Lytechinus pictus: one gene and its partner. The protein of the gene in region 1 interacts with the protein of each later gene in a biochemical or structural test. Links are inferred from orthologs where the notes say so. Each region holds a gene or a part of one and is shown on either strand. Other genes may lie near its edges.

What was found. The genes of interacting proteins can lie anywhere in the genome.
Region 2: the proteins of prolyl hydroxylase EGLN3-like (region 1) and peptidyl-prolyl cis-trans isomerase FKBP8-like form a complex in vitro, tested with the Homo sapiens proteins (2 studies listed by BioGRID, with this or other methods). The link is inferred for Lytechinus pictus from reciprocal best matches to the Homo sapiens genes EGLN1 and FKBP8.

The regions. Positions count from the first base shown.
Region 1 is NC_087251.1:25,490,704-25,498,235, reverse strand, and holds the start of prolyl hydroxylase EGLN3-like, read right to left. Parts: upstream 3,029-7,532; 5' UTR 2,804-3,028; intron 2,290-2,803; exon of another isoform or gene 1,941-2,289; 5' UTR 1,905-1,940; exon of another isoform or gene 1,633-1,904; intron 1,071-1,632; 5' UTR 1-1,070. UniProt on the Homo sapiens protein: Cellular oxygen sensor that catalyzes, under normoxic conditions, the post-translational formation of 4-hydroxyproline in hypoxia-inducible factor (HIF) alpha proteins.
Region 2 is NC_087249.1:25,195,663-25,203,185, reverse strand, and holds the start of peptidyl-prolyl cis-trans isomerase FKBP8-like, read right to left. Parts: upstream 3,024-7,523; 5' UTR 2,894-3,023; intron 2,810-2,893; coding exon of another isoform or gene 2,801-2,809; exon of another isoform or gene 2,786-2,800; intron 1-2,785. Other genes in the region: DNA-directed RNA polymerase III subunit RPC7-like, read left to right, coding at 6,484-6,609. UniProt on the Homo sapiens protein: Constitutively inactive PPiase, which becomes active when bound to calmodulin and calcium. Seems to act as a chaperone for BCL2, targets it to the mitochondria and modulates its phosphorylation state.

The sequences.
Region 1 (7,532 bases):
TTTTGTAGACATATGCATTGAATTTACCAATTCAGTATAAGGTACGTATGCCATCTTTCACAAATGTTGATTTTTATCACTGGTGGATCTGGGGGAGGGCACATCTGGCTCACCCCCCCCCCCCCTTAGAGAGCCTCAGTCGAGATTTGTAATGAAAATATGCCATTTTCACCAAAGTATGCCCCCCCCCCCCCCCCCCGGAAAGCAAGGCCCTTTTTTTGCTTGACAAATTTTCATCATGAAAATGTGGCCCCCCCCCCCAGGATAAATCCTGGATCCACCCCTGGTTTTTATTAAGTTTACATGTATTTTCATTTTGAAAAAAAAGGTTTCCTAGAGATTTATAAACAGCATGATTTACACTGAGCGTGTCATACACTTCTGTGCAGAAGAATATTATCTTGAGAAATTTGGTTATTAAATTATGGAAAATATCTTTTGCAAATGAAATTACTTGATTGCACTTATTTCTTACATTGTATTGTCATTTTACTGGATAGAAATTCATTATTTTTTATAACCATGACAGTGTTCTAATTTCATATTTGCTAAATTGTAATAATTCTTTTGATCTTCCTTCATCTTCATGAAAGTATGAATTCTAGTCATCTGCTTCAAAGTCTGCCCAATACAATGGTTACAAAGGGCCTGAGCATCACTTGTCATTTTTTAATAAGTAGTTAAGTCAGTAGTCAAGTAAGGGGTCAGACAGTTTGGCTGTATTATATTTGTTTAATTATCTTACTAGTGTCAATTTACTAAACTTTTGCTGTTTGTGATTGAACCCCCAAATTGCTCGATAGTACCATTATGTTGGACAGACGTTAATATTGACTAGAGGACTATTATTACTTTCCAAACCAACCTGAAGATAATATGATACTTCACGTAGTACAGGGGTATATTGTCTCCCTTCCATTGTTGTGATGTATGGGCTGGGTAATATCATCTAACTTGTCCTGGAATAATCATTCTCTGCAACAAGTTCCACTTCAGCGACTCTCAGTTGAACATCATCATTCCTGGCATTGGCGGCGGAAGCCAAAAATTTTAGGGGGGAACCGCCAAAACTTTTTGACAAAAAAAAAAAAAAATAGTGACCAAAAATCTTAGGGGGGGGGGACACAGGAAACAAGTGAAAATTGACAAGCCAAAAAAAAAAAAAAAAAAAAAAAGGTTATCAACAAAAAATTGAGGGGGGGGGTCGTCCCCTCCCCACCTAAAATTTAGTGGGATACGTCCCCCCCCCCCCACTTCCACCGCCTATGATTCCAGGTGCTTGGAGATCTTCAAAAGGCATGCTATAACATCCACTTAAGTTCCAGTTCCTTTCATGTTTTTTCCTCATCTTAGTGAGCATCTCCAAGTGTTCATATTTTTAGTGTCCTTTTTTAGATTTACCAAACTCAGTTTTATTACCTGATAAATGAAATTACAAAATTCTATCCCAAAAATTGAACACTTTGATCAAGTTTGGTTACTTAAACTTAATGTTAAATAAACTGAAAATATGTAATAAAAGGCAAAATAATAATAATGATGAAAAAAATACCGGTACCGGTAAAAACAAAAGTTACTCAAATTCACTCAAAACCATACACTTATCTACTCTCCTCAAAAATCAGTTCTCACTTTTAGGTATTGATCATTCATTCAGTCAATGAAATAATAAAAAGAGACAGGAGATCCTCATCAAAATAAACACAAACAGTGTCTCACACACACACTACACATTAATAGTAAAATCAGTTTGTATCTTTCGTGGGATTTTTTTAAATGTAAATCTGGATTCTTCTTGGTAGTAGGGCCTTAGGTCGCTCTGACTTGAACTTAAAACTTCCAATCTCAAGAAGGCAAGATATATCTCGGGAGATAGTCATCATCAAGATGTTTAGGAGTTCAACCTGGTGGTGAGGTTATTCATGATGGCATCTGGTATTCTGGCAGAAAGAATCAGAAATATAAAATGCATAAATACAATTGTTTATTTTTTTCAATACAAATTAAATTACCTGAGTCATTCAAGATAGTGGGTATTTTTTTTAGGGGGGGGGGTGATGGCATGACAAGTTTTTAGTCAAAATTATTTTTATCTTCATTTATCTTTTTTTTCCCACTTTGTATTACCATTTATTCAAAAATTGCAATAAACATATCAATAAATGAGTTTTTAATCTAGTACCGGTAGTTGGCAAAAGAAAAACCAGTGCAAAAGTAAAGCCAGTATTGGCAGTAAAACACTGACACCACGGCACTGACACTGACAGTGAATGTTCATTTTCCAGTGCATGCACATCAATACCCCATCGTCTTCACTCGTTTTCAGAAAATATTTAGTTATTTCTCAAATATGACCATGATTATCTTATTCATGTCATTACTCTGGTGTTTATTCATGATTTTAAATTCAGGAAATCATTCAGCAAACGAAGAAAACAAAGCATTTCTTGACTGTGATTCCGTGTGATTCAAGTTCAATTTCATTTCTGTGTCTATCACAGGTACGCACGTACGTGACGTAATCTTAATCTCTATTATGATGTAAATTAATCATCCCGCGCGCGATTAAAATGGCTCGAAATTCGACCAAATTCAAGGACAGCTCAGCTTGCAAACCTCACTGAGAAGGGCTTCCCCAGCCCTTGCGATTCCCCGCGCTGCAATTTCACTGCAATACACAGAAAGGAAATCAACTCAAGTTTCACAATCAACGGAAAATCCGGAACCCTTCGAGACCCATTTTACAAGAAATACAACTAAATAAGGTAAGAATTGAAAGCAACTCAAGACATTTTCGACTTACCGACACTTTCATGTTTATTTTCGGAAGATTTCATGGAATTTGGGGCACGAAAATGGTATCGGTAGCTCGCGAAAGTCCTGTGCAATACGATGACATATTTTTCATCGCACGGGAGGACAATCACAAAGAGAAAATATCATACACATCCGCGCTAACAGGGGCTTAATTTTGACGATATCGCATCGCTATGCGATTGCAATGATTGACATGCGAACGAAGCTTGCGTACAAATTTTGAGCACTTCACAGAGATACGATCTTACGTATAAGCTCCCGAAGGGAGCTAGAGAGGGAACTCTTTCCGCGCGTTTTTATTTCCCATAGGTTTTGTACATAGCCAACATGGCTGCCGGCGGACAATTTGAAGGATGATTTTGGAGGGTCAATGTTTTATTCATGAGAATGACGTCAAAATACGCATAATGCACTTGTATGATTGGATTAAACGCTAATGTTTTATTCATGTACTCATGCATTAAACATTTTTTTCCGTCCCACAATTCCCTACGATATCTGTGCGAAGTGTCGTTCTTTTGGACTCTGCGAATTTGAAGTTTCTGAAACGAAATAGCTAGACTAATTATCTGTTTATAGAATTGATGTTCGAAATCATGGTTTCTGAGTGAACTTCATTGGAGCGGAAAATCTTGGAGGGAACATCAATACTATTCTAATGACATTCCATAGGAATAAAAGTAAGTTACGCTCATTTTCATGTTTTGATCTCACTTGCAAATTGTAATGTGTTTGCCGGGGTTCGGGGCTCATCCTGTATTACGCACTACCGTATGTAAACCTCAATTTCAATATTTCTTTTGCCTGACTTCCAAATAAGTGTGATCATTGAGTTTCTCAAAAATACTATATCTAGGACTAGGGTCTAGGGGTCTATAGTTTGTCGTAGATCTAGACATTCATCGGAATGCTTCATGTAGGTCCAAAGTAAACCTTTATTTCAGTTTTATTGTGATTAGACAATTATCAGGGGTAGATGTGGACTTGTTTCCGACCTCCTGTTTTTTAGTAACGACAAACTGTCGATTTTAGGCCTATTCAAATTTAGGTCAATGTAGGGATATGGTCAGAGCGGGATCCGGCCTTTGATATCGCCGGTGCTAGCCGAGCGAGATTGTCGATGTAGTCATGGGGTATGAAAATAGCGGGGACGGACTAGGCCCAAACTTCAAGCTTGAAAGTTGAAGTTTAGGCCTAGTCCGTCCCCTCTATTTCATCTTCATATGAATAAGTATAATTCTCAGCAGTTTCTTTTATTCAGGAACGCTTTACTTCAGAATAATCAGTGTTGAAATACGATTGACTTAGCATTAATGTCTGTTATGTTATAAGTGTTACTTGTCTTAGTCTTAGATTTGAATGAAATGGCGTAGCCTACCCTAGACCTAAATCAAGTCTATTTGAACAGGATACCCTGGGTCCGGCCTGGGGTGGTAATTTGAAAACGTTCTTAGTGTTTACTTCATTCAAATGTGATGTGATTCTTAAGTTATACAGGCCCAGCATAGACCAGATTCAGCTATATACAGCTGTAGAAATATGTGGTTGGAATCATTTTACTTTTATAAACAGAGTGAGGTAGGCCTATGCCTCTATGTGATAGAGAATGAAGTTTCGGGTCCAGATAACTTTTTTGTTCTAGTTTGGAATATTCATTCATAGACCTGGGATATGGGCAGCTGGAAATTTCAAAAATATTGTTTAAGAAGAGTAATTTTATTATCTCTAAAACTCTCAAATTTAAATTGTCAATTGCAGATCCAGTGGGACCAAGTTCTTAGCAGTTCACACCTAGTCAGAAGTACAAAATTGAGAACCATGCCGATCAGCAAGTGTTAGTTACAATCTAATGAGGAACAGGATATCTGAATGGAAAAATTGCAAGGTATGCTTACTGTTTTGATAATATACAGGCTGTATCTAAGCTCATCACCCCCCCCCCAAAAAAAAAAAAAAATGAATATTTCCCCTTTTTTGGGAGGGGGTGGGCTATGGCCAATTGTGCTGAAACATGATGCGATATCATGTAATGTTAAAGTTCCATTGTGAGTTAATATTTGTTTGAATTCAGATTCACCAGTATTTCCATTTCTAACACTGCATACTAATTATCCATATCTCCTGTCTATACATGCATTTGCATAAAAAACCCAAGATATTAACAGTTATCACAAAATTCTGATAAATATTTGAATTAATTTTCACTTTTTATTTTCAAAACATACTGTAGATAGTTATATTGATATATGAATTTATCTGGATGTGGGACGAAAGTGACTGCATGTGCTAAACTTGTTTTATCACTGAAGATATAAAATAGAGTTTACATCTTTTTTTTACTAAACTGGACTAGATGAGTAAAAATAATTTACAGCTTATTATGTTCTTTTCTCTTTTTTACCATGCAGGTTTCCCACTTCCTAAGCTGTTTAAGTACTGGTATCACAACATAAGTGCCAAGAAGAGATATGAAACGGTCTCAAAATTTTTGCTGGTGCCCCCCCGATGCCGTGACCCACGGTACGCCACTGCAAGTCTTCATAAATTATGTAGGGTTATTAAGTTGCATTTATTGTTATCTTCATTTTAAAAAAATGTGAAATGGGCTACCACTGCAATAATATATAAATAGACTATATTTCAAAAATAGATTGAATTCTAAGCACAGTGACAGTAGACAAATCAAATTTTGTTAATGATTCGCTAATGTATTGATTGGGGAAGGCACTCTTTAGGATTCTGGCATTGTGTCCCACCCCCCCCCCCCCCTTATGAGGAGTGCTCTCACATCAGAAGACTATTTCTTGTCAGCAAATTTGAAAGGAATTTACCATTTTTTTTTAGTGATAAACTTTTGTGGAAGAAAATAAACGAATATCAAAGGTTTTTATGCTCTTTTATGGAATATTAACTATAGGCTCATCGAGATCCTTTGAATGAAATTTTAACAAACATTGTACAATGTAGAAAAATGTACTTAATCCTATTTTTGTACATTTATATACCCACCCCATACTACCCTTACCCAGTAACAGCCCTTTTTAGCTATGCATTGCCTTCATTTTTTAAAATACAATTTAATGCTTGGTAGATGCTAATTATTATTTTTATGTTAATGTCAATGTTTTAGAAAATGGATTCCTTAATAAACATGTTAATTTTGAATTGAATTTTTTTATCTTGGTAATTTTCATTTATCAATTAATTGTGATAATGTATTGCTTCTGAGCTGTTATGCACAAATGGCACAAGATGTTGCACTGTACTGAAATGTGAAATGAACCACTGTTACATGAGATCAAACAGCAGTCAATTAAAATATTATTCAAGAAAAATAAGGATAAGAGTGGGAAAGAAAGTAAAATGACAGGAGATTATTTGCTTGTATGCATATAGTTATGTCAGTTTCTGAGAGAGAGACAGACAGAAAGAGAGAGAGATGGGGGGGGGGGTGAAAGTTCAGTTTGTTTTGAAAGAAGCAACCATAAGACCTTACTGTTCATGACGGGGGGGGGGGGCAAATTATTTCTCCAAATTTTTGAAACCTGCATATAAAATGTATTTTTTCTTTCCAAATGAAAATTACACCAGATTCATTTTCAGTTGAAAATAAAAAAGAAATAGCCTACGATCGGTTTGCTCTCTTGCCTATTTAATTTTGAGAACCCCCTCCCCCCTAAAATATGGTATATACCTAGGTCATTATTATTGATGTTTGACATAGAAGTCGCCATTTAAAATCAAGTGCTCCGAGGACTGCTATTCATAATAGGACTTATATTGGAGACTACAATTATGGAAAAGAATTTGATTTGTTATTATCTTTGTTTATATTATGAAAAGAGGTTCATTTCGTTTTCTGCAATAAAAAGAAAAAAGGGCTCCAGAAACTTAAAGAGATGTCATCGTATATGGCAACATTTTCTTTGGGAACCTCCTCTGTAATATTTTTTAGCAAAGATCCTGGCCATTTGCAGCTAAAACAAAGCAAAGATGCAGTAATAATCGTAACAAGCAATAACAAATAGATCATTAAAATAGATGAATAATAAAACTCTGAGGAGGAAAAAAACGAATGATCTGACATGATGTAATCACTGACAGACACCATAAACGATTATTAATCAGGTCGCGCATTATGCTAATTAGTGACAAAATACTAATTTACATATTTTTACGCTATGCGCGAAGGACGTTCCGTGACCACGCCTTCATTTCGCTGGTGTACCAAAACAGTGGCGGTGTCCATAGGCTTGTATACGAAAAATGGGAGCAGTGTGCACTTTTGACCCTCCAAAATTTTCTTCAATTCTGACCGGATGCAGAAGCGGAGTTTCACCCCCCTGGAGCACTTCCGCGACAGCGCCATCTAGTGACTACGGCCGTGCCTAACTATGGTATGCCAATGCTGTACAGAGCACACACTTTAAAAATCATTAAAATATCACTTTTGTGACCAAAATTACTAATTTCCATACAGTTGCAATTTATTTTTCATTAGTAACTTAGGAATAATTTTTGTATTCACCAGAGCACTCAAAAAATTGAATTTGGGGCATATTTTTGTGTACGCCCTCTATTGGTTGAAAGTAATATGGCAAGAAATTTTTTATTTTTCAATCTCTATTTTTAATTAAGAAAAAAATAATTTAAAGAATAAAATATACTTAAGAGCCAAGTTGTATGATGAATAGGTGTAATGGAAACTGTCAGTG
Region 2 (7,523 bases), on another chromosome or scaffold:
CTGATAATCGTTAAAATACCCCTTCCAGCGCTTCTCGCTAGCATTGCGGGAAGAGTCTAGACTGCAGATAAAAACCAGGTGAGTTCGAGTCCCAACTAAGGTAAGCAACAGTAAAAAAAAAATGATAGAAAAATCTGAGCGAACCGGAAGTAACAACAATTGGGTGTCTGGAGAAAAAAATTATTTTTCTTATTTCAAGAAAATATCACATTTTCTTTGTGAATTTGAAGAGAAATGACCTTCAGAGTTCAGACTGACAGAAATGTAACATTTTTGAAAAAAAAATCAATTATTGGCTGCAAAAAAGAATGAAATTAGGTCAATTTTCAGCATTTCTCTGCCATAGACTGTGTAGTTAAGAAATGGACACACACAATTCCAAATTTTTAGCTTCCGAGAACTGTTATGAATTTATCATTAATGCCAAAAACTTGTCCATAAAGAGCCCAATATGATTTTTTATGCTCTTTCTGATGGATGGTATCATTTTTATAAAGATTTGGAAACCAGATTACAATGAAAAATTGCGACAAAGTGAACTAAATTGTGCAGAACAGACGTTTCATTTTCCTGTAGAAAACGCATGGGGAAATGGCAATCTCAACACACACACAAATAAGCCTAAGTTAGGCCTAAGGGTTTGCAATTTATCTATAAATCCTTATTTAAAATGATCATATAAACTTGTCGATGTCCTTACTGTCAAAAGAAGCCCCTGAATTTTCTCTTTCCATACATGCCAAACACATGTTAATAATCAATTCAGATCACATTTTTCTAGCAGCCTGAACTTCCCGAAAAAATGTGCCATATTTTCCCCTAAATCAGCCTGTTTTATGCTGACACTTTTCGGTGTGGCTTCAAACACCCTATCATTTATATCAACTCTTTTGTAATTTGGTGGGGGGGTGCATATGGAACTCTTTCGAATAAATTGTGGAAGTTTCTATTCTCATAAACAAACAGAATCATAACTAGGATCAGTAAGGACAGTAGGTGTCTGTCTTAATGTTGTAACCCGCAAGTGAAAACCAGAAGCGTACCGTCCCGTATAATCCAATAATTTGCAAGCGGGACCCGCTGACCCGTCGGGTTTTAACCCGCAAGTCAATTTATCTTTGAAAAATATATTATTTCTGCAATCCCTACACTATACAGGCTCAAATCAGGAAAATATATGCCAACTACTAACCTAGCCTAGAGTGAATTTACTTACAATTTGCAAATTCGCCTTTAATTCCGGAGAGAAAATGTTTTTTGGGGTGACTTTGTACCACGAAATGGGTCCGCTCTGATCTCGAAATTGAAAGCATTACGCAATTAACTCCTCTGATTGGAGCCGCAGCTCAGCGCGCGCTAGCTAGCCCAGGCTGCCCAGCAAAGATCGGCAATGTTGTTTTTCAGTCCAGGTCGGTCGACACGGCGACTCACAACAATCATAATTACAATATTCAATTCTATGGGACCTCGTCTATAAAGTAATCAAAATTGAAATAAATACCAGGATAATGATACAGTAATTTTTTCTTCTTGTATATATATTATTTCCTTCTGTTTTTGTATTTCTTCCAATTCTTTGTACTAAATACAAACGTGCACGAGGGCGCCCATGAACTTACGTAAACAGCTCGTGTTACTAGTGCTTAGCTAGCTTAGCTAGGCTTTTATTTATTTTTTATTTTTTATCTCTCTCGATCGATCGGTCAAGAGAGAGGTATTTGCAAGAAACTTGCAATCCATTGCAATCCCATTTTACATCTTCAGAAATCTTAAAGACTTTCAATCAATTGTACATCGGAAAAATTAAGAGTGCGGGGGCTTCAGTTTTCATCAGAAAATGTATGAAATAACGAAAAGGAGGGTTAGACTAGACCAGCTTAGCGTGTCTTCAAAAAAGGGCAGCTAACACTCTGACCTGACGGCACGCTCTATCAGGTCATGACCTAATTTGGTAATCCAATAAGCAAACAACTGTCTCACTGCCGTGCACCGCAAATCCCTCGAGCTCAAACAGCGAGCGTTGCCGTGGAAACAGGCTCGACTCGCCCCACTCCAAGTCATAAAGCATTTCTTTCTCTGCCACGTGGCCTATCACTCGCTCCTTGCCAGACATGATTACGCAATGTATTCTGGCTTCTGTTCACATTCTCCGAACACATCCCCTCCCCTCTCTCTCTATCTCTCTCCCCCTCTGCCAGTCGTAAAACATTCCTTTCTCTGACTGCGCTGCACTGCACTGGCGCTCCTTTGAAAGAGCAACTCGATGTATTTTATTAATATTATGTCGAACTGTCTCAGTCCTGTTCACTGTTCACAGGACAAAAATACGCCGGCATTTTTAAAAAAGGAAATATCTACGTCTCTAAAAGAATCCGCTACGTAAGAAGCACATGATCCTAATTCAATTTTCATTGTTAATGTTTTTATTATGCGTCGTTACTTCTCCCTTTTTTTCGTATGACGGTCTGCGGGTTTGAGAATGAACTCGGCCCGGCCCGCAATCCGCGATGGGGTGCATACCGGCAGGTTAACCCGTACCGCAACGGGTGCGGGTTACAACACTACTAGTCTGTCTAACATTAGATGTCAAACAGGCGCAGGCGACATCCTTCAAAACACGAGACCTCATTCGAATGAGTGCACAGGGGACACCACAACTATCGGCAACACGTGCAATATATTACGCACACAAAGAAATGGATGATATCACGATTCCTTGATACATGTGTTCGGATAGCACACGATCGAAATCACCGGCTGTTTGAGGGATGCGATGTTAACTTCGCAGTAACTGGATAGAATGGAAAGAGTGAATAATTTCCTATAGTAAACTCCCATATGGTTTATTATTTAAAAAGAACTACTCAAATTAGTTCATATCCGGCTATCTTACCACACAAAAATAGATGTACAGTGATCAGGACTCGTCAATAACTCACGCAAAAAGTAAATTTTACAGAGCTTCAGTCTTCACGCAATGCCACTGGGTATGGTGTCTTTGCTATCACATGATTTTTTAAATCTTTTTTTTAAATCTCATAGTCGATTACCAACGCCGAATACGGTAAATCATTGGCAAAACTCCCGGGGGCAGTCAAAATACAGGGGCCGCGGAAGCGGGGGGCTGGGGGGCTTCAGCCCCCCCCCCCCCTCTTTTTTCAAAAACCGTGTACAAAAACGTAAAAATGACGACCATATGATTGTGCTAGTGCCCTTGGCTTTACTTACTTACTTACTTATATGGATACTTATGGATGCTTCTGAACGCAGTCTAAGACTCTATATTCAGTTCCAAATTCTGTCTCCTCTTTAGGTTGGCCGGCATGTCCTGGTGGGTCAGCGTCAAACTTGTACTTCACAGGTTCACATTTCCAATACTTATCCAGTCCATTCTCGAAGCTGTGGACACTGGGTGCATTAGTAATTCATTACTTAGGCTATTCCAAGGTTTCCTCATTCTTATGTAAAAAGAATTCTTACGTTTCTCAGTTACTGACCTCGGAATGTACAATTTCTTATCATGACCTCTGGTAGGCCCATGCACCTGGCCCAAATCTGGCACTACCTCTTGGTCATACCTGTGAAATAACTTGTATGTTTCGATCATATCTCCTCGCGCACGGCGATATGCTAATGTAGGAAGTTTTAGTTGAATCAATCTTTGTTCATATGGAAGGTTCTTTACTTCAGGTACCAACTTAGTGGCCCTTCTTTGTACATTTTCTATTGCTTGAATATGTTTCTTTAAGTATGGACTCCATACTGCATGAGCATACTCCAAGTGAGGTCTAATCAATGCTTTGTATAGGAGTAGGAGGTTCTCCTTGTGAAGATAATAAACAAATGTTCTCCTAATTAGATTCATAAGCCTATTGGCTTTATTTATCTTTGACTGAAAGTGCTGGTCAAAACTAAGCTTTGTGTCGACAATCACTCCTAAATCTTTACTAGTTTCAACTTGTGATAGATTATGTGAAGCATTATCATGTGTCATAGTATATTCATTGAATTCATCATTCTTTGTACCAATAGTAAGTACACAACATTTATCCGGGTGGAACTTTAATAGCCACTTGTCTGACCATGACACAAGACGATCTAAGTCCGCTTGTAATAACTCAGCATCTCTGTCATTATTAACATGCATGCTTGTATAACTTGGTGTCATCTGCAAATAAACTAACAGTACTTGACGAAATCTGATCCGGTAAATCATTAATGTACATTACAAAAAGCAGGGGTCCGAGGACACTCCCTTGCTGTATTCCGCTGGTTACATCAGCCCAGTCAGAGAACACACCATTCACACAAACTCGGTGCTGTCGACCAACAAGAAAAGACCTCTGACCCACTTACATATGAGCTATAGATATGCCAAATCCCTCAATTTTGGCTAAAAGTCTCTGGTGTACGTGGGACCTTATCAAAGGCTTTCATGAAATCTAGGTAGATGACATCAACTGCACCACCAACCTCCAACATATTCGTCCAATCATTTAACACATTGAGTAATTGTAACATTGTTGATCGTCCTGATACAAATCCAAATTGTTTTGAACTGAGAAGGTAAGGAATTTATCCTCATTACCATGTCCCTCGGAGAGGACCTTAAGCTGTCGGTCCCCTGGTTGCTTGCTCACAGGCATTCGTGCTTTCTTAGTAGTCAGGTAAAAAACCTCGATATAATGGGACTTTTTGCATGGTCATCAGCCCCCCCCCCCCCACTTTGAAAACCTTTCCGCGGCCCCTGAAATGTACTGCTGTACACATGGGTAACTAAATTATTTCCAAACACCTCCTAAATGAGTTTTTTTCTGTGTGCAAATAATCACCATAACAAGTTTTTCGCGGGCAAAGTTATTTTGGCCCCTATATACATGTATTGTTGTCGCAAAAAAGCTTGGGGGCAAAAATACGTACCCTAAACACGTATGGCTATATAGTTTATAAAAAAAAACATACCCTGTACGTTTGACCCTGTGATTGACCAGTGACCATATAAACCACCGTTTTTTTTTTTTTTTTTTATCGCGGTGTTTTTTTAATGAGTGCATGTACACGCGGCCCGCGTCCAAAACTAAAAAACACCCCTTTAATCATCATCATCATCTGTACGGGAGGGTAGGTATATAGCCCTGTAGATCTCCCGGTCGTAAACGCTTGATGCATAATTAAAAGTCTAACAATTAAGTACAGTGCGGGCGTGGATGTAAGACAATTTCAAATGTAATGCATGACCAAAAAGAATCTAATCCGTGTTTAAATGAGTTAATACTGGAGGACATAGTGTTGCAGGCAAACTATTCCAAGATTATTGGATCACTCTTTTACTGAAAAAGCTGCTGCGCGTCAACCGACAGTGAGTTGTCACATGAACAGTTTGAAGGGATTGTTCCCTTAAATAAGTTTTTTGTCATGTACTGCAATATATTTGTGGTGGTGAAAGTGGTGAAAGCTATTATAAAAAGGAAGGGAGTAGGATAGAGGGCGGGATCATGATGTATATATATAGAGGGGTCTGGTATGGATGAGGTACTACACTAAGCGCAGGAGGTAAAAACCCTAGTAAAAACAAAACAAAAGCACAGAAATAATAAAAGCCTGACACAGAACGCTATAGGTTACCAGTATACGAGAGAAATAAGAGAGCTAGGGTGTTGTCGGGTGTAGGGTGTATATAGGCTCCATTTTTTTTTACCCGGAGGGTGCCACTCCACTGGCTTGACGGTATACACACTGGAACTATTCACAGACCCTCACAATCGATACACACAGCAGAGAAAAGTACCGAAATAATTTTATAAGGATATACAGAAGGAGTTAATTGGTTTGGAATAAAGGCCGGGGCAGCTAGTCTATAAAATAAAAGTCAAATTATAAGCTTGTCTACGTATAGCAATGGGATTTTTTTTTATTAATAAGGGGCAATTATACCTGTCTATAAAATAAAAGTAAAATTAAGCTTGTCTCTACGTATAGCAATTGGATTTTTATCTATTCATCGATTCCATTCATTTACATGTTTGTTTGCTTATTATCCTCATCATCATTAAATTGTTATCATCTTTATTTATTTATCTATTCATTTATTATAATTATTATCATTATTATTATTATCATCATCGTCATCATCGCCATCATCATCATCATCATCACCATCATCATCATCATCAGGATCACGGATGGGGTGGGAGTAGTTCTAGATTTATACCAAACATGTCCATATAGCTCATTTTCACACATACGTGTAATATTAAGCAATATCTCAACGTATCATTCTGATTTTATTTATTATTTCATAAAATTGCCAAAATATATATTTCCATCCCCTTATAGCTCTAGTCACATTTATTTAAATTCAATTCAAGTTAATACCAATTTTATTTTTAAAGACACCATACTTTCAAGTGGGTTAGAGGAAGAACTTATTTATTGTTTTAAGTTTAAGTTCCTTTTAAAACAACAAACCAGTGCTACTTCATTATGGCTGGAAGAGGTCGAGGTCGCGGGCGTGGTCGAGGGTCGTCGTTTGCTGCTGATGCCCTTGGATTAGGAAGAGGAGGAGAATCATTGCCACCTCCCACTGCTCAGCCGCCACCGCTTTTTCCTGTGAGTCCCACATCATTGCAAATTATGTTGGTCAAAAATGCGCACGGTGTTGCCGTTCCGATTCCGACTAAAATATGTCTCAAGATTTCAACATCATCAGGATGGGCTGATTCAAATCACGTTGATTTAAATCATTATTGAAATCGTGATTTTAATCTCTATGATTTTTTCTAAATCATTGATATAAATCACTTCCAGTTCCACTGGAAACATGTAGGCCTACGGTACACTACAATTACAATTACAAATGATTGACAATGACATTTTTTTATTTGTGGTAGTTTTATTTTTTTCCTCAAAATAGAAAGATTTTATCAATTCTATATCATCAAAACATAAATAAATGCTTCATATCTACTAAAAAAATTGAAATCATGTCAGTAAAATCAGGTTGATCTTGCAAGGTAGCCTATAAATTATGTTATGGTTTAACAATCATGACAATAACAATTAACATGTCTCAGACTTAGTCTTACTCTTAGTCTTAGGCCCCTAAAACGCACTCACACAAGCATGCGAGGTTAGTATACTAACCTCGCACAACGCATGTCATTTCATAATGAATTTTGACGTTTTCGTTCATCACACGAATGTGAGAATATGAAACACGCCTAAATCTTCACAATATACTATTACTAAATTTAGTCATCTTAATCTTATATTATTTATAATGTAATCTAATTTTAAAAATCAGCACGAACTTATCTATAGAAATGGATTTTAAACGCTTACCTCCAAATCTCAGCCAGTTACTCCATCCGATCCTTAATACTGCGGTGGAAATTATGCAAACAACGATCGATATGCGAATTTTTCCTATCGAACAGTCTAGATTCAAGTCGCCGGCGCATAATAGGAAATTGTACCAAAAATCAACAGGTTGCATGTCACGTATAATCGCTGATGGTGCTACA